Linked DNA regions of Arabidopsis thaliana. The protein of the gene in region 1 interacts with the protein of each later gene in a pairwise test. Each region holds a gene or a part of one and is shown in the gene's direction. Other genes may lie near its edges.

Region 1 (7,042 bases):
TTTTTTAAAAATGTGTTCTTGAATTCATTCTAGACATGAGCAAACACATATTAAAAAAAGAATATATGGTCTATGGTTTTATTTTACTAGAACTCTTTTTTATTTTATTTTTGTTTTTAACAGATCAGATTTAGATGGAAAAGATCTATATTCCTATTTTAAACATAATATTATTAAACTAACAGCGCTACTAAAACTCTAAATCTCTTATATTAGTAGAAAATCACAATCATGTTTTTTAGTCTCGTCTTTATATTTGTAGAAAATCACAATCATGTTTTCACAAGAAAAAAATCACAATTATGTTCATGTGGATGGAAGATATTGCTTATGTGCTTTCTATTTCTTTCTTTCTAATGACGTAATCTATTACAAAATTTAATTCACTTTAATTTATTAACATTATAAAAATAGTAATTTCATTTATGATGATTTAAGAAAACTGGTTTCAAGAAAATTCTTCCATTTAGGTTCGTGAGAGGAAACGTATTGAAGAAAAGTGACAAAATCGATGACAATATATTGTTGTGGATAAATAGGGAATTGGACATGTTTAGGCACTTCTACAAACTTTTATTCCTTTTGAGGCACTTCTCACGTACAAGGCACTTTTCCTTGTTTTTGAAAAATAAATGGACAATTATATCCCCACTCATCTAAACCAAAAATTTACTTACCCGGTTAGAAATGTTTGTTTTGATTTGGTTCCCTTCTAATAAATCCACAGTTGATATTTACAGAAAAGGAAGTTACCTTCGCCGAGTGAAATTATCTCAATGTCGATGGTTGTTAATTCTCACTGTGATAATTGATTGTAACACTGATAGCTAAAGGCTATATCGAAAATCAAATCTGACGGAGCCGCGCAGGACCCGACGGCGGAGATGGATTTAAGATGCGATGAAACGATTCTTCTCCACATAATGGTCTCGATTCTTCGGGGAAAATTAGGAAAATTAGCATCAAGAGAAGAAATCGCAGATAAATCTTGAAAATGAGATTACTTACAGGAAAATTAGATCCGGACACGCGGTGAAGATTACTGAGAGATTAGAGCTCTCAGAGGAGATTCTCCGATCTACGATAGCAGAGAGTGATAAAGAGTGTGATAGAGAGAAAGAGAGATTTGTTGGAGAGGCCTATTTGCGTCGATTAGGAATCTCTCCCTGAATTAGTATCGGCCTGCAATAGCCATTTTTTACAGACTTTGAAAATCTTAATATGATGGAAGTTGTAGTTATCTGAAAGGTTTAGAATAACTAGAGTGGAGGGTACCAACAGCGATACTGATATCCACGTAGTCTCTGTAAATGATATCATCTCCATCGATAACTGCATTTACTACAGGTTGGTGCTGGAGGTTTGACTTGAGCACCATTAAACAAGAAACTCGTATGGAAAAAATTTAAGAAATTGTTTCGGCAAAAAAACTAGTATCCAACATATCAAGTCCAATAAAAGATAAACTGCAAAAGGCTGCCTACGTACCCTTAGAAAGGGATCAAGCCACACGTAGTTCATATCGCGATAAACGAGCTAGGCCATTACTGGAGGAAGGTCGTATGTCGAGTTAGGCAGTTTTAGGGATGATCCGGCGGATAAGTGACGAGTTGAATGGCTTCTCGAGACGTGCGAGTAGGTTAGTTACTTTGGGCGGGCAAGTCGGCGAGACACTTCGGACGGACGAGTAAACGAGCTACTCAAGATGGATGGGCAAACGAGGTACTTCGGACGGGTGAGCTGACGAGCTGCTTGAGACGGGCGAGCTGATAAGCTACTTGAGACGGGCCGGCTGGCGAGATACTTCGGACGGGTGAGCTGACGAGCTGCTTGAGACGGGCGAGCTTATAAGCTACTTGAGACGGGCCGGCTGGCGAGATACTTCGGATGGGTGAGCTGACGAGCTGCTTGAGACGGGCGATCTGATGAGCTACTTGAGACGGACCGGCTGACGAGATGCTTCAGACGGGTGAGCTGACGAGCTGGTTGAGACGGGAGAGCTGACGAGCTTCTCTTTGTCTCTAAGTGTGCATATGTTTTTTTTTTTTGATCATATTGTAAACAATATAGTTTAAAACCTGATGGTGGGAATATTCCCGCTATACAACAGTATCTCAATATTTCCGGTAGAAGGAATTTTAGATTTGTCTTTCATGGTAAAAGAGAAAGATAATTGATAATGTATCCATAAGAATCCATCCACAATATAAATGTATTAATTCGTTTGTCTGATTGGATAATTCATTATCACTGGATGACATTTATATTAAGTTTTAACGTATTTGTAAACATAATTAGCTAGAATGATTTACCAAATAAACAATAGTTCAAAATACACAAAATTATTTATTTTTCTTCGCATTGTTAACTGATATCAAATGTTAGATGCACTTGAAAAAATGTTGTTATGGATGGAACAAACAAATAATATGATACAAACCACTAAAACATTCAACAGCAATATAGAGATAAGATTATCGATATGGTTAATGTATCCATATCAAACGCTTTTCATGTTGAAAGATAAAGATAATTGTTAATGTATCCATATGAATCCATCCACAACATAACTGTATTAATTCGTTTGTCTGATTGGATAATTCACTATGACTGGATGACATTTATATTAAGATTTACAAATAAACATCAATCCAAAGTACATTATCCATGTTTCTTTGACCATTTATCCACATGTATATAGACATGTTGATACAATTTTATCGAGCTATAAACATATTCGCAGCAAATCAAAGACATATTTGTCCATTAATGATTGTCCAAGCAGTCCAGTCCATGATCATCTAAAGACTCACATGATAGTTTCATACTAATACATAAGTTTATACATGAACAATAAACGTCAATCCAAAGTATATTATCCATGTTTCTTTGACCATTTATCCACATGTGTATAGACAGTCAGTTACGTAGACCTCAGTCAGTTAAGGAACTTCTCCAAATCTGCCAACATCTCTACATATTTTAATGTAGACGTAATAGGTTGGTTTGAGGATACGAGGACACCGTCAACAATGAGGAGATAAGCAAGCCGAAGTCTGTGGTAAGAAGATAAGGTCTTGTGATTAACATTTTTGAAATATCACCTAACGTAGCATTCATGTCTTCACCTATTAGCTCTTCACAATGTTGGATATTATAAATAAAATTAGCACACGGTTGAATAATTAGAGCAAATAAAATGATTGGAGAAGATTAATACCTTGCATTTGAGGACCGAGTAGAAGTTACTAGCACACGCCGGAGACGACGAATCGATTGAGAGACAAGAAAATGAAGACCATGACGGGAGAACAAGTGTTGACGACGACGACGGGAGAGGACGAATTAATGTCGGCCGATTGAAAGCTTTGTTGACGATAACGACGGGAGAGGGACGAGGAAATGACTTTGCCGGTAGAAAACTCGTTGGGATGATCGCCGGAGTCGAGATGATGTTATCGTCGTTGTGATGATTTTAACTGCCCAGATAAATGAAACTGTAAAATCGTCGTGAAGGATTGGGTGAGAAAAAGAGGTTTCTCACAAATTGGTTTTAGTTTAGAGATTGAGATTAAAAAATTAAACCGAAAACCGGCTAAATTTGTTAGGTTTTGTTAAACTAACGATTTCAGGGTAAAGGGGTAATTCTACTGAGTTAAAGTGACTAATGCTTTTAAAGTGCCTATTTGTGGCCAAAGTTTCAAAATAGTGCCTTTACGTGTAATATTCTCGGATAAATAACCACCATATATATTTACCAGGCTAGAGTTTAGGAAATTACTATAATACAATAAATCAAAGCATTATGGAGACATGATAATTTATAGTTGTCTACATACTAAATAAACATACTACGGAAAATAATAAATTGAAAACACTATTTGATGACAATATGTTACATGATTGCTATTTTCTTACACTTTTCTTTATTATCTGGCAAATAACAAAGAAAAAAAAAAAAAAAAAAAAAAAGGAGCGAGTCGCATGGAGTTCCAAATTTGGTTGGCAAGGTATCCATAAATAGAAAAGTTGCCTAGTTTCATGCACTAAGCTTAACCATAAAATCAGATTGATCACATGTGGTTAACATCAATCACAAAAAAAAACAAAGAGATAGAGATATGACTGAGGAGAGCCCAGAAGAAGATCATGGGTCTCCTGGAGTAGCTGAAACAAATCCAGGAAGCCCTTCTTCAAAGACCAACAACAACAACAACAACAACAAAGAACAAGACCGGTTTCTTCCCATTGCGAATGTCGGAAGGATCATGAAAAAAGTTCTTCCCGGTAACGGTAAGATCTCAAAAGACGCTAAAGAAACCGTTCAAGAATGTGTCTCGGAGTTCATTAGTTTCGTCACTGGTGAAGCTTCTGACAAGTGTCAAAGAGAAAAGAGGAAGACCATCAATGGAGATGATATCATTTGGGCTATCACAACTCTCGGTTTCGAAGACTACGTGGCTCCATTAAAGGTCTACCTCTGCAAATATAGAGACACCGAAGGAGAGAAAGTTAACAGCCCAAAACAACAACAACAAAGACAACAACAACAGCAGATTCAACAACAGAATCATCATAATTATCAGTTTCAAGAACAAGACCAAAACAATAACAACATGTCATGTACTAGTTACATCTCTCATCATCATCCTTCTCCATTCCTACCAGTGGATCATCAACCTTTTCCCAATATTGCTTTCTCTCCTAAATCATTGCAGAAACAGTTCCCGCAGCAGCATGATAATAACATTGATTCAATTCACTGGTGAGAGAGACATTTGCTTTTTTTCTTCTTTCTTTTCACATATTATATGCTTTTCTTTACCTTTTGTGAGTACATCTTGATGCTTATATATATTTGTTGCTATATAGACACTAGACACGTACATTTTGATATTTTCAGTATACCCATGGTTTTGTGTAACAGAAATTCGTCTTCATATATTTTCCGGATTAGTTCGTCTCGAGCAAATATAGCAATCTCTCATGATTTACAACAGTAGAAACTAATTCCATGCTGCTAATTGGATTAGAATACTTACCACCTACGGTTTGAGAGTTAGTGGTCTAGCTTATAAGGTTTCCAGTAGAGAATAGCTTAATTGGAAGAGAATGGTGTATTGTTTCTCATTCATTTACTCATGTTATGATTGATAAAGATGATTGCTTGAATTAAAGAACTTCAAATTGTTCCTCACTCACTACTCTTAGTATCTTGACCTGAAACTATAAGTTATAAAAGTAAATGCATTTCTAATACGATGTATGTAAAATGTTGCTGCTATGAATCTGATTGAATATAACTTCTTTTTTACATATAAATAAGAGAAAGTGGAAGCTATGAATCTGATTGGATAACAAACAACCCAATTATATATTTTTTTTTTTTTTACATAAGAACAAGAGAAAGCAGTAGCTATGAATTTGATTGGGTATAAAGCAACCCCAATTATAAATTTTTACATATAAATAAGAGAAAGTAGACTTATTCATTTTGGGAACCAAACTTAGTCATCCTTGTAGACCAAAGTCGGGTACTCTGGATTCCACATGTTGTTTTCCACATACTCCATCAGCCCCTCCTGCGGAATACACAAGACCGCGTCAACATAACTAACATTTAGGCTTAGTTTCTGGTTTAGTCTTTATTTTCTCTAAGTGAGAAATCAGGTAAACACTCTTCTGTTCTTTACATATAATCAAACCCGATCGACATTCTTCGTAGAATACGATTTTATGATCAGGAGTCCAAAACACGTGAAAGATGGGATGTTGTTTTGACATCTTTTCTTTTTCTATCATTTATGATTATATTAAAGCAAGTCATTAGCTGAATTGTTACCTCATCCAGCTTTTGGATCTCTCGAGCGTCCATTTCTCTATATCCTTCAACCAAATCCTCCTCAATCGCTTCCTTAATCACCGCAGCTGCTATTCTTTTTGTTATGTCTCGTATCCTGAAATTTCAATTCCACATGCCAAATGTAGCAACTATATCAAAACATTTTCTTATGTAACAGTAAGGATGTTCTTTGATTGTGTTACTCTTACCTTGATATTGGAGGGTATATAATCCCCTCTAGCACTTCTTCTTCGCTCATGTATGCTGCTAGGCTGCAGTAGTTTAGCAGAACAATGTCATGATTCCACATTCATAAATTACGGGACTTGTTTATTTTCATGGTCTCCTTAAAAATATGAGTTTTACACTAACTACAATATGAAACCTCAACCGAAGGCCTACTATTGGGAATACCATTTGGAGAGAACATGTCGAACTACTGTGGTTCCTGTCTCGTGGATGGGGGGTATGTTATAGTTCGTGACATCAGCCAAATATGCGGACATTCTTAATAATCATTTAAATTTGGTCCGTAGTTATATATCATGGTACTCACTTCAGCTTTAGTTGAGAATAAATCAGGAATGATAAATGAAAAAGGTAAAGAAAGGAGCTTACCACTCGGATGCGGCCTGAAGCATCCCGTCGGAGACAATGGGAGCACCAGATAAAAGAGTGCCAAGTCCAATACTACAATAAATTTTACAGGATTAGAAAATCAATTTATTTCATGACAATTAATGTATCAATTCAAGAATGTATGCAATTCTTTCGGACAATAAACAAGAGGAACCAACCCTGGAAATAGATACATGTTGTTTCCCTGGTTGCAATGTCCTACATGACCATTTCCTGCCACAAGAAAAGGTACTAATATTTGAAAAAGCCTCATATAAAATGGCGTATGCTAAATGATACAGAGGTCCTCATACATACCAAATTCCACATTCTTGAATGGGCTTCCACTCGCAAAAATCATATTTTCGCCTAATATCGAAAATGCATCTTGAGGCGTGCATTCAGCTGTTATTCAAAACACAAGTACCTATTACATCTATCCAAAAAAGAATCACAAATAACCGCAAAACACATTTTATGGCAAAGAAAGAAGACAAATTACCATTTTTTGTGGGGTTTGACATTGCAAATATAGCAGGCCTTGTCGAGGTTGAACCTTTCATTGCTTCTAAAACCTTCAAC
Region 2 (9,180 bases), 9.4 Mb from region 1:
CAGTTACATTATTGGCCCATAAAAAGTAAATATTCATATATGACAAATATGGTTAACATAAAAAAATTTCTAATGTTGAACTCTAGTGCTTAAAGAATCCATAGAAGTGGCAATGCCATTTGCGCTTGTAAATTTTGGTAATTTTTAATTCTGTTTTGTTTAATTTTTTAACAAATTTATTATGATGAAAAAAAACAAATTTATTATGATGATGCAAAAGAAAAAGAAAAAAAACTCAGGGAGTGAAGCGTTCAATATTACTACATATATATCTTGCATGCTTACATTCATTCAAACTGCATGGTTCCAGCCTCCAGCCGATGACAACAAGTAAAGAAAATTAATTAATAGATTGGTGAGATATGTATAAATTATACATAATGACCAGAAGTTGAATTGAATAGAGATGAGTAACACACTTCATTTAGATAGACACTTTGTGCACTGAGTCACTGACGAATAATTTATACTTATTTGAAACGTTAAAATGGTAGGGACATAATTTTAAGTATAAATCTATGAAAACAAATGCTCGTATAGAATTGACAGCTAATTTTCCACCCTTTTTTTGCTTTTACTTTGGTTTCCATATGATCAGACAACAAAATAATAATTTGTACTTATAATTTGACAATGAGAACATAGTTATTAATTAATGTAGAATATAGCATAACTGGAAAAGATTAGCCAATTAATGATTGTTTTGGGGAGTAAATGTATGAAAACTCACACATACAAAAAAAAAACTCAGAAATTTCACACAGAAAAAAACATGAAATGTTCGACTAGTTGTTCTAATAACATATTGTAAACTGATGAAATTGTTGAAACTATGAAAACTCAGAAAATACAGATTTAGAAGATTTTTGTTGACTAATTTGTTTGATTTCTTCCTCTAAAATAGTTTTCTTCATTATTTTTGAACAAAAAATAACACAAGTTGATGGCGAATATTACAAATTCGTATGACATAAAGAAAGAAAAAACAGTACTTAGTCAAAGGCATATAACATGCCAAACCCGATCGCAATGAGAAGACAATCCAGATTAATTTATATTGGAGTAAAACTAATTATGCGTAAATGGGCTTATTTTAGGAGTATTTAATACACACCCGACGAATAGTAATGACCACTATAACACCGTGAATATTGGCTTATTGATGATAAAATTTAAACCAAGCCACATTACGTATGTTATGTAACAACTGCACGCTCAAAATCTAGCTAGTTTGGTGTCTAACCTGGGAAAGTGGGTCAAAACACTCGTACGCATAACCAAAGTAACGGTCTCTACAAACTGCATTCGTTTAACCAAGACTAGAAGCTCGACAACTGAAATCCATCAAAGATTTCACTCCAATGAGAAAAACATAAGAAACAAGTTTTTTATATAAAAGCATTATTTTGCACATTATGTTTGGGATTTTTTAATTCCATTTTTAGGATATAGTATTTATAATGACTAAAAATGACAAATGACAAATATTTGAAACAAACTACAAAGAAATTAACGTTTTCCTACGTCCAAAATCGTAGGAAACATGGTTTTTCTCTCATTTTTCTACGAAAATAATTTATAGGAAATTTTCCATAAAAAATCAATACTGATAGGAATTTGGTAATCACCACATGTATATTTACTCACGCAACAAATAAAATTATAATAAATACTATTTACATCTTATTAGAATTTAAAAAAACACGCATCAATAAATGTATTACAATTTTTTCTGAGTGTTGTTGTTTGAAATTTAGTGAGACTATTAAACATGAGGCCAACCCTACAATTGTTTTGATCAACAATAAGATATGTATAAATATGAACATACTAGTTTCAAAAATGCTTTTGAAAAATAACAAGATACCAGTTTTTATGCGCTATGGATGATTTATTTTACATAACTGGTAGTTTGTTTATGTGGACGGTAAACGATTCAAAAAGATAAGCAAATTTGTCCACATATGTTTTTGTTGTTCTACATACAAATTATAATTATCTATATCGTATAAATAAAATAAATACAAGTTACTAAAAAAGACTTTCTCATGAACTTAAACACTCTTTGCAATTAATCAACTAAAATTATCTACTATATTTCTAATTATATTTTAAATAAAATACTTTTAGTCAAATACCCTTTAAAAATAGACATACGTGGTAAACTAAAAGAATATATGAAATAAAGAAATAAAAGTAAATATACATTTAACGGGACCCACTCTTTCCCCATCATGCTTCATTATCATTATCGTTATCATCTTCTTTCTTCCTCTCTCCTCTCTTTCTCAATAATTTAGATTTTTGTGTGATTAAATATTTTAGGTTTCTGCAGAAGGAGACGTTTCCTCGTTTTTGTGCTGTTTGGATCTTCTGACACAATTCACTTTTCCGTATAAGTTTTCAATTTCTCTAATCCCATTATGTATATTTAAAATATTATACTCTTAACCTATTTGAGTGTTTGGAAGAAAAATATAAACTAACGGTAGGACTTTCAAAAATGAAATCTATTCATTTTCTAGAATAAAGTGTTGATGCGTTTTAAGTTTTTATGTGTATGTGGTAATATAAAACTTTGTAAATAAAGTATCTTAGTTAATCTGCTGAGGAAAATAATGAAATGAAATTAAAGAAAAAAACAGTTGAAAAAAGAAAAAATGAAAAGAACTTGGTAACGTAAACATTACTAATTTTATTACTTATAAATCATAATCAGTTCAAAGTTCGTTGCCATCCTCAGTGTACACTCTGAACTTGCTAGATGATAAAAGTCTGCAAGAATAGTAATCCGAAGAATACTTTATGTTCAGGATTGTAGTTATATCAATAAAGAAAGATTTGGATTGAGATGCGTGTGGGATTTCTTTTTATTAAATAAATACAAATATAATGTTTTAAAAGAAAATGATATGATTCTAAATTGGACACGACATACATATCACTATGTCTTGATGTGATAACATTTACTTCATCTATGAAATTATATCGTCTATAAATAACTAAATAAAGGGTGTTTGGTTGTTATGATATGTGGGTTCATTACCTGGTCAATACATGAAAAGGCCAAAGTCATATCATACAAGTTCCTCTGTTTTTCAAGTATACCAATTCTAAATTTATAATAAGATACGTATCACATATATATTACCAAATAATGTATACATATGTCTATGAAGTTGAAATATTTCGAATTTAATATTATCTCTTGTACTGGATGTCAAACTAGAATTTCAACAACAAACAATTATATGCACATTTTCTCACTTAGTTTTATGAATTTTAGCTCCCTATGATATATATGTACTTTGTAACTTATTTATCACCATGCTATATAGTGATAATAACATGAAGTAAAGGTTTTTTGAACATGCAGTATGAAAGAATGCTATGTCTTTTTCTTAATTTATTCATTAATCTTTTTCTATTTAAAAAAACTGTTGAACCAATTGCTCTAGAGTACACTAATTTAAATGATTACATAAAGCTATATCTAAGTGTAGAGTTTAATATCAATTTTGAAAACAAATTCCAACATGGTTGGAATGTCTATTTAGCATATTAAATTAAAAAGATAAGTAATATTAGCTGGTGGTGAACGTAAACACACACACACACACAAATTGTTTTGCGGATACAAGTATATATCAATATATGAATGTAAAATTAAGTTACATTAGTGAATATTTCATGTCCTAAACATTGGTTATTGTCCCATTTAACAAAAAATCCACTTTGGTTATAAGATATACCGACCACAACACTAAAATAAAATAAAATAGAAAGAAAGTGATGAAAAATGGTGGCGTACTAAGGACTGTGGGAAGATTAATGAGTGAAGGAAAAGATGGGTATCTTTTATCTCTCCTTTCTTTATCCTCTCTCTCTTTCAATATATATTAGTCATTTTTATTTTGTTATATATTATTTCTCAGCTTTTTAAATGTATTTTATATTTCCCCTTTGAGCAAGAAAAGAGTTGCAGAGATCTTTGAGTCTGACACAGAGACCAAACTCACATAGCAATCACACACATCTCCACAAACACAGGTATGCATATAAATATATATATATAAGTGTATATTCGTGTGTATGTGTGTGTGTCTGTCTCTCTCTCTTTCTCTTTGATAGAAATTCTCTAATGTAACTTTCCTTTTGCAGCTTGAGATGATCATGAAACACGTGCATCCTCAGATCTCTATCAATCCAGGTTCTTCATCTTTTATAATATTCATTTTTTCTTTCAATTTCTAACTCTATTATTTTATTATTTTATTTTCAATCATGATTATGTCTTAATTTCCATATCCTTCAATCTCTCTTTCTCATAATCCATAATTCATCCCTTCTTCTTCGTCTTCTTGATGTGATCACGATTCTTTTTTTCTTCGCTTCAACTGTATATATATACAGATCTATATTAAACTTATAGTGGTTTTGTTTTTGCTCCTTTTTCATACTTTTGTTTGTTTTTCTATGATATCAATCAGCTTGGTGAAAGAAGGTCAAGAATTGAAAGAGAATCAAAGAAAACGACGTCGTTTCATTCGTGTGTAACAACTACTAATTATACATAGATGGCTGCTTACTTTCACGGAAACCCACCGGAGATCTCTGCCGGATCCGACGGTGGTCTTCAAACGTTGATCCTCATGAATCCAACTACTTACGTTCAGTACACCCAACAAGACAACGACTCGAACAACAACAACAACAGCAACAATAGCAACAACAACAACACAAACACAAACACAAACAACAACAACAGTAGTTTCGTTTTCCTCGATTCCCACGCGCCGCAGCCAAACGCGAGCCAGCAGTTCGTCGGAATACCACTCTCAGGTCACGAAGCTGCTTCCATTACAGCCGCCGACAACATCTCCGTACTTCACGGTTATCCTCCGCGCGTGCAGTACAGTCTCTACGGTAGCCACCAAGTGGATCCCACTCACCAGCAAGCCGCGTGTGAGACGCCACGCGCGCAGCAAGGCCTCTCTTTAACCCTCTCGTCTCAACAGCAGCAGCAACAGCAACATCATCAACAACACCAGCCTATTCACGTCGGATTCGGGTCCGGACATGGAGAAGATATCCGGGTCGGGTCTGGCTCTACAGGATCGGGGGTAACAAACGGTATAGCTAATCTTGTTAGCTCCAAGTACTTGAAGGCAGCACAAGAGCTTCTTGACGAAGTAGTCAACGCTGATTCCGATGACATGAACGCTAAATCCCAACTATTCTCATCGAAAAAGGGTAGTTGCGGAAATGATAAACCTGTCGGAGAATCATCGGCCGGCGCTGGAGGAGAAGGTTCCGGTGGCGGAGCAGAAGCAGCCGGGAAACGTCCGGTGGAGCTAGGCACGGCAGAGAGACAAGAAATACAGATGAAGAAAGCAAAACTTAGTAACATGCTTCATGAGGTAACAACAATACGTATTATATACAATAAGCCTACATATACTGAGTGCTCTCTTATATCACACATGAAGTGGACTTAAAAGTTCTGTCCCTAAGATTTTCAGTCATTTTCACAATTCATTTTATATGTATATTAAGCTATCCTTTTTTTTTTTTGCTCTTCCGATTTCTCAAATTGACAACTTACAAGATTGATGAAATCTTTTTTTTTTTGTCCCTCTCTTAGTAAAGACTAACAACTTTTATAGATTATATTTATGTAGACCGTACACTTATGTTCATAAGACTCACGTTACTTTGTTGGTTGAAAAATGAAAAGGTGGAGCAGAGATATAGACAGTACCACCAGCAGATGCAGATGGTGATCTCTTCGTTCGAGCAAGCGGCAGGGATAGGATCAGCGAAGTCATACACGTCGCTAGCATTGAAAACCATATCAAGACAGTTCCGTTGCTTGAAAGAGGCGATCGCTGGTCAGATAAAAGCGGCCAACAAGAGTCTTGGGGAGGAAGATTCAGTGTCTGGTGTTGGGAGGTTTGAGGGGTCGAGGCTCAAGTTCGTGGACCACCACTTGAGACAGCAAAGAGCTCTTCAACAACTGGGAATGATTCAACATCCTTCCAATAATGCTTGGAGACCTCAACGTGGTCTCCCAGAACGAGCCGTCTCAGTTCTCCGTGCTTGGCTCTTCGAACACTTTCTTCATCCGTAAGTAACCCACTATACACACATGCACTACTTTTCATCACTGGAACACAAACTCAGTCTCTAAGTTGTCTTTCTTTTAATTAGATACCCTAAGGATTCGGACAAGCACATGCTAGCTAAGCAAACAGGACTCACTCGTAGCCAGGTACGTTTCAAAATGATTCTTTCTTGTGTTATTAGGTTACTTAAGAAAGCGTTTTTAAGTAAATTTATTTTCTTTAATTATTTAGGTGTCGAACTGGTTTATAAACGCGAGAGTTCGGTTATGGAAACCAATGGTGGAGGAGATGTACATGGAGGAAATGAAGGAGCAGGCAAAGAACATGGGATCCATGGAAAAGACTCCTTTGGATCAAAGCAACGAAGATTCTGCTTCAAAGTCAACAAGTAACCAAGAAAAGAGCCCAATGGCGGACACTAATTACCATATGAATCCCAATCACAACGGTGACCTAGAAGGCGTCACTGGAATGCAAGGAAGCCCCAAGAGACTAAGAACCAGCGACGAGACAATGATGCAGCCAATAAATGCGGATTTCAGCTCCAACGAGAAGCTCACGATGAAGATTCTAGAAGAACGGCAAGGGATAAGATCAGATGGTGGCTACCCTTTCATGGGTAATTTCGGGCAATACCAAATGGATGAGATGTCAAGATTTGATGTAGTCTCAGACCAGGAGCTCATGGCGCAAAGGTACTCAGGAAACAACAATGGCGTGTCCCTCACGTTAGGTTTACCTCATTGTGATAGCTTGTCGTCCACGCACCATCAGGGTTTCATGCAGACCCACCATGGGATTCCTATAGGGAGAAGAGTGAAAATAGGAGAAACAGAGGAATATGGACCCGCCACCATCAATGGTGGTAGCTCGACCACAACCGCACATTCATCAGCGGCAGCTGCCGCGGCTTACAATGGGATGAACATACAGAACCAGAAGAGATATGTGGCTCAGTTATTGCCCGACTTCGTTGCATAAACCCATCTCTCTAGAAGGAGAAACCGAAACAGGTTATTATATACGTTTCTAGTTTTTAATTAGTATATAGTTTCTCATACCATTGAACCAAAACAAAGAACAAAATTTAATTTTAGTCTTTGGTTATATATGGCCGACGGTTGTATATCGATTTTGTAATTTTTTTTTTTCGTTTCTATTGGGGGATGGATAGGGTTATATATGTATATGGATTAGTTACGTGTAATAGCTTGCATTGGGTGTATACCAAAATATATTTTTACTTTTATTACAATGTAATAATTAATAAGATAGTGAACTGATCTATCAAATATGGAATGATGATTACAGATTAGATCTAAGCTGTATAGATTCCGAATATGACATGTATGCTTAAGCGGCTGGAAACTTATAATATTTTTTGAGGAGTGTTTATGTGTTAAAAGCATATTAAATAAAATTCTACACATTCACAATACAAATATAAAAAAAAACAAAGAAAGCAATCTCTGAAATAAGATCTTACGAACTGTTGAATTGAATTCAGATTTCAAACTTTGTGTATAGTTTTTTTTTTTAAATCAATTAAGATTAACGTTTATAAAACTTGTTATAAATTTTCTTTTCAAGATATATAAAAATGAAAATGTTCAAATCATTTTGTAGAATAGCGTCACCTGCTGAGAGATAAACTTACAATAACAGTAACAATTTTTTTTTTCTGTTATTAAAGACATTGACAGAATATTTATATGAAGACTGCGTGAGAGTGTGAGACTAATTTCGGAGAGGTTTGTAAGAAAAAAGTTTACAAAAACATATGCGAATATTTAATATATATTTTACTCATTTTCGGCCCATAACTTTTTTTGGGCCCAAATACCTTTCTATAGATATTAATAAATAATGAAATTTAGTGAAACACATGAAATATGTTGCGACTATCGGAGCCAAATTCATGAGTCAAAAGTTGAAAAACACAACAAATTTGAATTCATTATTTAAAACTGAGGCCCAGAATCTAATAAAATTTCCGATTTTGTTACCCAAATTACTCATTTTAAGCTTCCCTTCAACATCACTTTGTTTAGGCCCAACGCAACAACCCTTTTTTAAATTATAAAAAATAAAATTCTATTGTCCAAAAAGAAAAACAATAATAAGAAAAAAGTTCTTTACAGAGAGGTTTTTTCATGGGTAAACTATTGATTGAATGTTAAGGTCATGTAAAAACAAAAAGGTTTGGTAGGAATATAATCAACTATTAAGTCCTCGAAATATATGTTCAGAAGTTGTCCACTTCAACAACTTCCACACTGTATTTAACGACTACCTTATTTGAATGTGTAACGTTTAAGCCCTTCTTCTTACTTACAGCAACAGTCTGTACAAGAACAAACCAGCTCTAACCGGACTGGTTTGCTTTTTCATACCTGAACCAGATTAGTTATGGTGCTTATCAGATAGATAAACGGAATACTAGTTAGTATACATCATGTTGCATTCTACAATCATTTTAATTGACTATATTATCGATATGCAGAAACGGCATGAAATGCTTTAATTTGTGACATTTCCTTGAAATATTGAAACACTTATGTAATGAAAATAAAAAGGAAGTTCTTAAACTATTTTAAAATTGCTAGAAGAGCTTTAGATGCATTGTACCTAGCAATTACAATTGTTAGTCGTAAAGTAAGATCACATTGTTTAATATATCTAAAAAGAGTGTGGTCAAATGAATTAGTGAATTACTTTGTATGAGTATAGAATAATATATTAGTTTCATACACGCATGCTCCATTCATGCATATATGGTGGTAATATCTTTTAAACCGTGTTATATTTTGCGTCGGTGGCATTAGTTGTTGAAGCTCCACACTGCTGATCACTTGCAGTTTTGCACCCATGCATATCCCTGATGTGATACGTTTTGCCATTGATCGATCTCTACTAAACTAATTCCTTTATCAAAATTTCATCCCAATGTATGTAACATCATCATACCTCATTAAGTACCTCCTAAGGAAATGACTGCTCCTAAGAGAAATCCGTTTCTTGTCGATTTTTTCATAAGTTTTTTTATATGTTGATG
Region 3 (7,766 bases), on another chromosome or scaffold:
ATTCCATACCATCCCCGCTTTTGAAACCCAGTAAAACCACCAGACTCGAATCCATGACTAGGAAGCTCAGAACTGAAGAACCCAGCTCTAGATTCCATAACATTTCCAAATTTCAGCTTTAGGTTGGTGTTTCCCAACTTGCTAGCGAAGAACCCATGAACTTTCGCCGATCGCGATACAGCAGAAGGAACAAAGTGGGGTACTGAAGAAGGAGATGAGAGGCGAGAAGGAAGAAGATGGCGACTCTGGTTTGGCTTCTTCTTCACCATTTTGGTTAGCTGCGATTGCGAAGAAGCACCAACGTTGACGACGACCTTGCGAGAGAAGCTCGAGAAAATCGCATGCATTTTTTCTCCTTTTTCTTCGGAATAAATTTTCAATTTTTTATACCAAATGCATGAACTTCTGATTGTTTTATTGTCATGAGACACCATGAGGTATGTGTGTTAAAAACGTCACCTTTTTTTTAGTGCAATCAAAAGTGACGTCACACTAAACACTAGTAAAATAAAATAAAATCACATGCTCATTCCCGTTTAGGAAAGTTGTAAATTTAAACCATAACTTTTCCATCTCCAAAATCACAATTTACATACATCAAATTATCAAGTAACCATAACCAGAAACTGCTATATCTTATTATTCATCTTCTCGCTATTGCTGCAACCGCAATAGTGTAAAAGAAGAATCAAAGCAAATTCACCATCAAATCTTGTACTAGAAATCGGTTAAGTAGTCTTTCACAAACTCACATAATGAGATTTACTCGACATCAAAACAATTATGTAATTGGACACTGAACAATTCCTAGAATGTACCCAAGTGACTAGAATCTACTCTCTCTCTGTTCTCTATAAAACGGCTAACTTAAACAAAGTCACAAAGATCCTCAACTTGACAAAATGAGGAAAAATTTGCATTTGTCTTTTCACAATAATTTTTTATAATCTTTTTGGATATTCTCATAAGTATTTATTTGCATGTTAGTACTATTTGTAAGGAAAAAGGATTTAGTCTTTATAGTTTAGGTTTGTCTATTTTAAAGGAATAGATAATTCGTTGTTTTTCTGTATAATCCTTGTGATTGACTTCAAAAGAAAACAATAGCTTGGTGAGAAGACTTGGAATAAATGTCAAGACAATAACCTTAAGATAATCTTCAATGTTCAAATTTTGACGACAAGAGAATAAGAATTAGTTTACTTTGGAAACGAAGGTTTCCAAAATGTGCAGGCCAAACGTAAAAAATAGTAATAATAATAATCTCATTGTCACAAAGTTTAACATAACCAGTACTCCAGTAGTATAATGATGGGACAAGTTATATGAATCTTTTGCAGCAAGTCCAAGGTTTGATGGAGAAAGTAAAATAATCAATCAGTAGCAGAATCGACCTTTCCTTATCCTTGCCCACGCAATGACTGCAACTACAACTCCTCCCAACTGATCCAAACTAGTCAAGGTATTGTTGTTTTTCCCCTGCATTCCCAAAAAAGTTGGTCTGGTTTAAGATATAGTCATATAGTCTCAAAGCAAATGTGGATTAGATTCTCACATCATACACACCTCTAGCATCTTTATAATGTTGAGTCCTAAGCTATAGATTCCCTGAAGATTAAGAGAGTGAGAGTATTTTAGATGATTCAGAAACGTTTCACTCATTATGACGAGTATCTAGAGAGACCTTACAGCAAATACAGGCACTCGGAGCATCAACCCAAAGTATGTAGTAACTTTTGGGTAAAGGAGCATATCGAGAAGCGTAATGGCATACACAGGTCCATTAGCACCCTGTACACAAATTGGAAAGAGTTTGACCATCCAAAACATGAGCGTGTGCATCTCTGTTCCAGTCTGTTTATACTTTTAAAAAATAATTTAACTGGATGAGTGAAAAAACATACCAGCTTCCCAATGGGGACTTTTAATTGATCCTTAGGGACAACTCTTTGGCCCTGTATGATTGATTAACCAATAACAAAGGTAAAGCATTTCGTCTAAACCTCACAAACACATAGAGAACATGTACGTAGTACAAATGCACTGGAAAAACTACACATCTGTGGACCTAGCATGGTTAGGAAAATGAGAAAATTATGCTTGTTGCACTATACCTTGAGTGATATAACCGAGAGAGCATGACTACTCAAGAAGAAAACAGAGCCACCAAGTGCTCCAGCAAAGTAGAGCTTCAAAAGGTAGCGCGGCCCAAAGCTTCTTGCAATCTAAGAACAAATGGGATTCGATATAAAGATCAATAGGTAGCAAGTTTTTCTTTTTAAACGAACTAAGGACGGTCCTTAGATGAGCCAGATTAAGTGTAAGTAGCCGGTTCATACTTCATAGGAAACAAATGAAAGCATTTCTCATTTCGTTTACGAAAATTAATATATGGAAACAAGGAAAAAATCTTACTCTGGCTCCGAAGTAGCAAAGCCCCATCATATTCAAGATGATATGAGTGGCTCCAACATGACTGAAACCCGAAGTGATCAGCGTGTGTATACGTCCAGTCATAAAACTGTACCTTGATAACTGTCCAAATACCATATGGTTAATAATACATGTAGATTTTTTATTTTTAAAAAAGTTGTTAGAATTTGATGAGGTCAGACCATAAAATTCTTCACCATCCACATATTGTCCTTGCCTAAAACCCGCCACATTGTAAATACAGCAGCATTAGCTATTACCAATCCAAAAACTACACCATTAGCTCCATTAATCCAAGACTTCCTGCCAGAGTTAAACCAATAAAGTGGTTTTTTCTTTTTGGTATTAGTATCCAAAATCAAATGGAGCAGGTAAAGAATCTAAGATTTTTGATGTAGGAGAACAATTTTTTAAAGGAGAAGGTCTAAACAGTGTCCAGCTTGCTATTCTATGTCTTATCTATAAAGAGAAAAGCATCAAAAGAGCTTTGTGCTGCTCAAAATCAAGAACTACGCAGAAATGGAAGAAAAAAAAAGCCTACTAATTTCTCTGAATCCTGACACGTCTTTTACTTGGAAGAGCCAAACGTACAATTGACCAGAAAAGCTAAAGAGAGTTGTGAAAAAAGGTCGATGCTTTACCAAATAAATCCTGTCAAACCCAGAAATTTTATGGTGAAGACAAATTTATCTTTGAAAAATGTAGTTTTTACTTGGAAACAAATAGGTACAATATAAAACAGAGGACCATAGAGAAAGGGGAACTCAGAATTTTTCTTAGGAAAGGTTCCAACTTTACTTTGAAAAACAAAAAGGGAGAGGAAAAGAAACGATACCATCCACGTTTTTGAAACCCAGTAAAACCACCAGACTCGAATCCATGACTAGGAAGCTCAGAACTGAAGAACCCAGCTCTAGATTCCATAACATTTCCGAATTTCAGCTTCAGATTGGTGTTTCCCAACTTCCCTGCGAAGAATCCATGAACTCTCGCCGATCGTGATACAACATAAGGAGGAACAAAGCGGGAAGAGAGATCAAAAGGAAGAAGATGGCTCAGGGAATGGCGACTCTGGCTCGCCTGCTTCGTCACCAATTTGGTTAGCTGCGGGGAAGAGCAACCGACGGCGACCCTGCGACAGAAAATCGCATGCATTTCGAAACTAATTTCAAATGTTTTACCAAATGGCGCAAAAATAAGAGAATAGCATCAACTTCTTCTGATTATTCATGAAAAGTGTGTGTTTCAAAAACTCAGGTCTTTTAAGTGCAATAAAATAGTGATGTAAATGTAACAAGAAGTAACAACTTTCTTTTTTTAGGTAAACAAAAGATTCCCTCCGGTTTAGGGAAATTGTAAATATACAACTTCCAACTTTCATTAAACCATGACGTTCCCATCTCTAAACCACAATCCCACTCAAGACAAGGTTAAATGTCTTACAAAACAAATAGTGGGTGGCATTTTCGGAATAAGATGAAACATTGAGGGTACAAATAATAATCTTAATTTTGTACACGTCGTCATCGTCTTTCTTCCTCCTTCGTACAGTGATTGAGTGCCTTGAAACTAAATAAAAAAATGGCCTCAAAACTCAAAACCTTCATCAATCTCCGTGACTACCCAATAACCCTATTCAACCAGATTCGATCACTATCCTCACGAATTCTCACACCTATCAATCAATCTCACTACAGGAAACGAATTTTACTCGCGAATCTCCTTCAGAGGTATGGTTTCCCTCCTTCTTCTCTTCAGCACTTCCTCTCAAGAAACAATCACCTATTGAATTCGGACTTAGTAGAAACCGAAATTTCTCTCGGCATCCTATTGTCATTGAAAATCCCTCAGAAATCACTCGTTTCGTTGATTTCCGATTGCCCTAATGTTCTGCGATCAGAGTTTCTGAGGAAATGGAGAGTTCCTCTGTCTAATTGCGGTAAACACGGTGTCGTCTCATCTTCTGCGATTAAGAGCGTCCTTGAACATTCTAGTAGAATTGGGATTGGTCCAGATAAGTTTAATGAGTGCGTAAGGGTTTTGAAGAGTTTAGGGTTTTGTGATAGTACTGTGAGTAGGATTTTAAGTTCATTCCCTGGTGTTCTTTTAGTGAATGAGATTGAAATTCGTAGGAAGATTGAGTTTTTAGTTGGAATTGGCATTGCTCGAGATAACATTGAGAGGTTCTTTCACGTTTTTCCTGAAGTTCTAGGGATTGGTACTGAGACTAGACTTAAGCCATTGCTTGATGAGTTCATGAAGATGGGGTTTAGTAAGGATGATGTAAAGAAAGAGATTGCTAGAGAACCGAGAGTTCTTGGTTTGGAGTTAGGTGAGCTTCCGCGGTGTTTGGAGTTGATCAACACATTGAAATGCCGGGAAGTGATTAGAGTTAGTATAATCAGCGAAGGAGCATTTCGTGCTGGGTTTGAAGTGAAGCTCAGAGTTGATTGTTTATGCAAATACGGGTTGATTCGTAGAGATGCATTCAAGGTTGTATGGAAAGAGCCGAGGGTGATCTTATATGAGATAGAGGATATAGAGAAGAAGATTGAGTTTTTAACTAACAGAATGGGATTTCATATCAATTGTTTAGCTGATGTACCGGAGTATCTAGGGGTTAATCTTCAGAAGCAGATCGTTCCACGGTACAATGTCATTGATTACTTGAAACTAAAAGGTGGGCTTGGCTGTGATATTGGATTGAAAGGTTTGATCAAACCAAGCATGAAAAGATTTTATAATTTGTACGTGATGCCATACCCAGAGTGTGAAAGAATCTTTGGAAAGAGAAAAGAGAATGTCCGAGTGAATAAACGACATCCCGCAGGGCTTTGGAAGCTTATGAAGCCGCCTAGCAATCTAACAACAAAAGAAGATGTGCAGAACATGAAGTCCTTTATAGAGTCACTTGCTTAGTATGTTGGATCTTGGACTTGCCTCTTACTAGATTGAAAGAGATCGGCCACTCTCTAGAGGGTTCTTGCTCCCTCACTTTGCTATGAGCTGCTCTGAATTGATATGGGTTATCAGGAACTTTCAGTGACTATCGAATCTGATCTCAACTCGCTCGAGTTCATGGCTTGATTATTCAAAGGACAATGCATACTCCTGAATAAGCCATGCTCACTTCTCGTTGTGCATCTTGGGAAGACATCTACCAATGCCATTGCCTTCGTTTCCATGTCTCTGCCTGATAGATTTGCTGAGCAAATGTAATTGGACTTTGGTTCTAAAAAGTCAAGTGCCATGTTCCAACTTCCAACTGTAACTACTAGTTAGGGATGTTACGTGGGCCGAGCCAGGCCGGCTAGTAGCCCGTTTTGGCAACTTTTATGCTAGGCCGATTCATCTGTTCCGTGATCCATCCCAGACAAACCATTTGTTTTTGGCATTTATACCAAAAATATTTGTTTCCAACAATTTTTTTTCTTAAACATTATTTTCAAATGTTTTACGTAAAAGCTCTGTTAACAAGAAACTTAGATTTATGTATGGAAGAATTGGTTATACATGAGTCAGTAAGTCATGAAATCTGTATAATGGGAAGAAGTTAATCAGTTAAATCTTATTTATTCCAAGAGGGTGATTGGAGAAAAAAAGAAGAAGAAGAGAGTTATTGGTAACTAGTGTTATTTATGTATTAATGAAGAAGAGAGTTATTGGTGTTATATATGTATTAATCAATCACAAATTGTACTACTAGTTAATTATGTAAGTAAAATCAATTGAAATGCAATATTAAATTTCCATGAAGATTTTAATTATAGAGAAAATTAAACTTTTCTATACATAGATAGATTACATGGTTCAATAAAAATTATTGTGAATAACAAGAAGTATTTAAAAAACGAAACTTATACTCTAAAAAAAAAAAAAAAAAAAAGACCAAGTGTTAAAAGGCTTGTAATGTAAGAAGCGACAGTTGGTCAAATAACATCTTTGACTTGGTCAACGTATTTTAACAACGGTTTTCTGTTAGAAATGGACTAATAGTATTAACTTACAAAAGACACACCCGATTTGTGAGTTGTGACATTTGCTTTGTCCTTAAGTATCACCACAAGCCAGCTTATATTGTCTCTATAGTTAGACAACCTTTGACCTTATTATACATACGTATATATGGAGCTTTTTTTTCAATTTCATATGGCATATATTTGTGTCACTGTGTGTGTGGTATCAATGTTCAAGGGAGACAGTTTTGTGGTTAACGAGGTCGATGCTTTGTTTGGTCCATACCCTGCATCGTCCATGGCCACCATATTACTATGTTTCGTGACGTAATTGATGATATGTATATCAAATTTCAACTCAAACTAGTTGAATATGAATGATGCAATTATGCACATTGATTTACAGGCCAGCGCTGGATTTAATATCCATTGAGCAAGTTATGAGAAAACAGTGGTCAATTAGTCAATTACCATTAAGTTCTTTTGAAGAGTCCAATATGGAACAAGATCAAACAAATTATGAGACTACAAAGACTTATGAGTTTATAACCAACTGAATTAAATTTCTATAAACAGACTCTTCCCTCTTGCACCTACTTCATCTTCTTTCTCTTACTATGTTTCTTCAATAGTCTTGTAACTGATAATATATGACCATTGAATGTAAATCAAACCTCTGTGTAAGTTGATTTATATCAGTTTCTGTCTATAAACTAGACTATATAATATAAGCCATCCCCCGGACGGTTTTACTTTTAGAATTTATTAAAATAGTAGTATAAGTTCGCATGAAGGACCGACACTGTCGAGTCATGTGCGTTTTAAAGAGACAATGAGGAAACAGTGACTTTTTTGTTGGGTCAAAGGGAAGCAAATCCATCTTGTTGGTTAACGATTCCATTATTAATTTTGGTGGATTCCCAATGGAATATCTAGGTAGAAATCATACAGTATTTACGGGCAAATTTGAATTCAAGTATTGAAAATTCTGCTCATTATCCCATCCATGATCCATTTCTTTTAAAATTAGAAACTACAGTAAAGCACTATGTAGTCTTACACACGTGGTATCGAATGAGCGAGATATGGCTGAGTACATTTTTCATTGATTTATGAGATGGTCGGAAGTCGGAACACACAATAATATCGTACTCGACCGTGTTGACCTATATGTTACTATGTACATCAAAATAGTCATGTACATATATGCTAGTTTAAGCTGTAGCCTTTTTTTACTTCCTAAACGTCCAAATAGGTAGCCAACCCTATATAACTCTTTCACATTTCAGTCGAATCATATTCTAAAATTTAACCGACCATATTGTATATCTTCCTCCTTCCACCGGTAACTGACTTTCCCTTGCGCGAAAAAGGATA

What was found. Proteins that work in one complex are often made in the same cells at the same time.
Region 2: the proteins of NF-YB7 (region 1) and BLH1 interact in a two-hybrid assay, tested with the Arabidopsis thaliana proteins (one large-scale study listed by BioGRID).
Region 3: the proteins of NF-YB7 (region 1) and AT1G74120 interact in a two-hybrid assay, tested with the Arabidopsis thaliana proteins (one large-scale study listed by BioGRID).

The regions. Positions count from the first base shown.
Region 1 is NC_003071.7:5,653,569-5,660,610, reverse strand, and holds NF-YB7 (nuclear factor Y, subunit B7), read left to right. Parts: upstream 1-4,092; 5' UTR 4,093-4,121; coding exon 4,122-4,769; 3' UTR 4,770-5,220; downstream 5,221-7,042. Other genes in the region: NAD-ME1 (NAD-dependent malic enzyme 1), read right to left, coding at 5,508-5,582, 5,843-5,957, 6,052-6,114, 6,461-6,532, 6,640-6,694, 6,779-6,865, 6,963-7,035.
Region 2 is NC_003071.7:15,087,097-15,096,276, reverse strand, and holds BLH1 (BEL1-like homeodomain 1), read left to right. Parts: upstream 1-3,861; 5' UTR 3,862-4,050; intron 4,051-4,098; exon of another isoform or gene 4,099-4,161; 5' UTR 4,162-4,210; exon of another isoform or gene 4,211-4,490; 5' UTR 4,491-4,577; coding exon 4,578-5,420; exon of another isoform or gene 5,421-5,737; coding exon 5,738-6,126; intron 6,127-6,210; coding exon 6,211-6,271; intron 6,272-6,356; coding exon 6,357-7,106; 3' UTR 7,107-7,515; downstream 7,516-9,180.
Region 3 is NC_003070.9:27,869,509-27,877,274, reverse strand, and holds AT1G74120 (Mitochondrial transcription termination factor family protein), read left to right. Parts: upstream 1-3,942; 5' UTR 3,943-4,014; coding exon 4,015-5,352; 3' UTR 5,353-6,101; downstream 6,102-7,766. Other genes in the region: AT1G74140 (Rhomboid-related intramembrane serine protease family protein), read right to left, coding at 10-347; AT1G74130 (Rhomboid-related intramembrane serine protease family protein), read right to left, coding at 1,378-1,479, 1,567-1,608, 1,690-1,791, 1,905-1,955, 2,115-2,225, 2,416-2,535, 2,616-2,736, 3,269-3,588. UniProt on the Arabidopsis thaliana protein: Transcription termination factor required for mitochondrial NAD2 intron 3 splicing and normal membrane respiratory chain Complex I activity. Essential for normal plant growth and development. Binds to RNA but not to double-stranded DNA.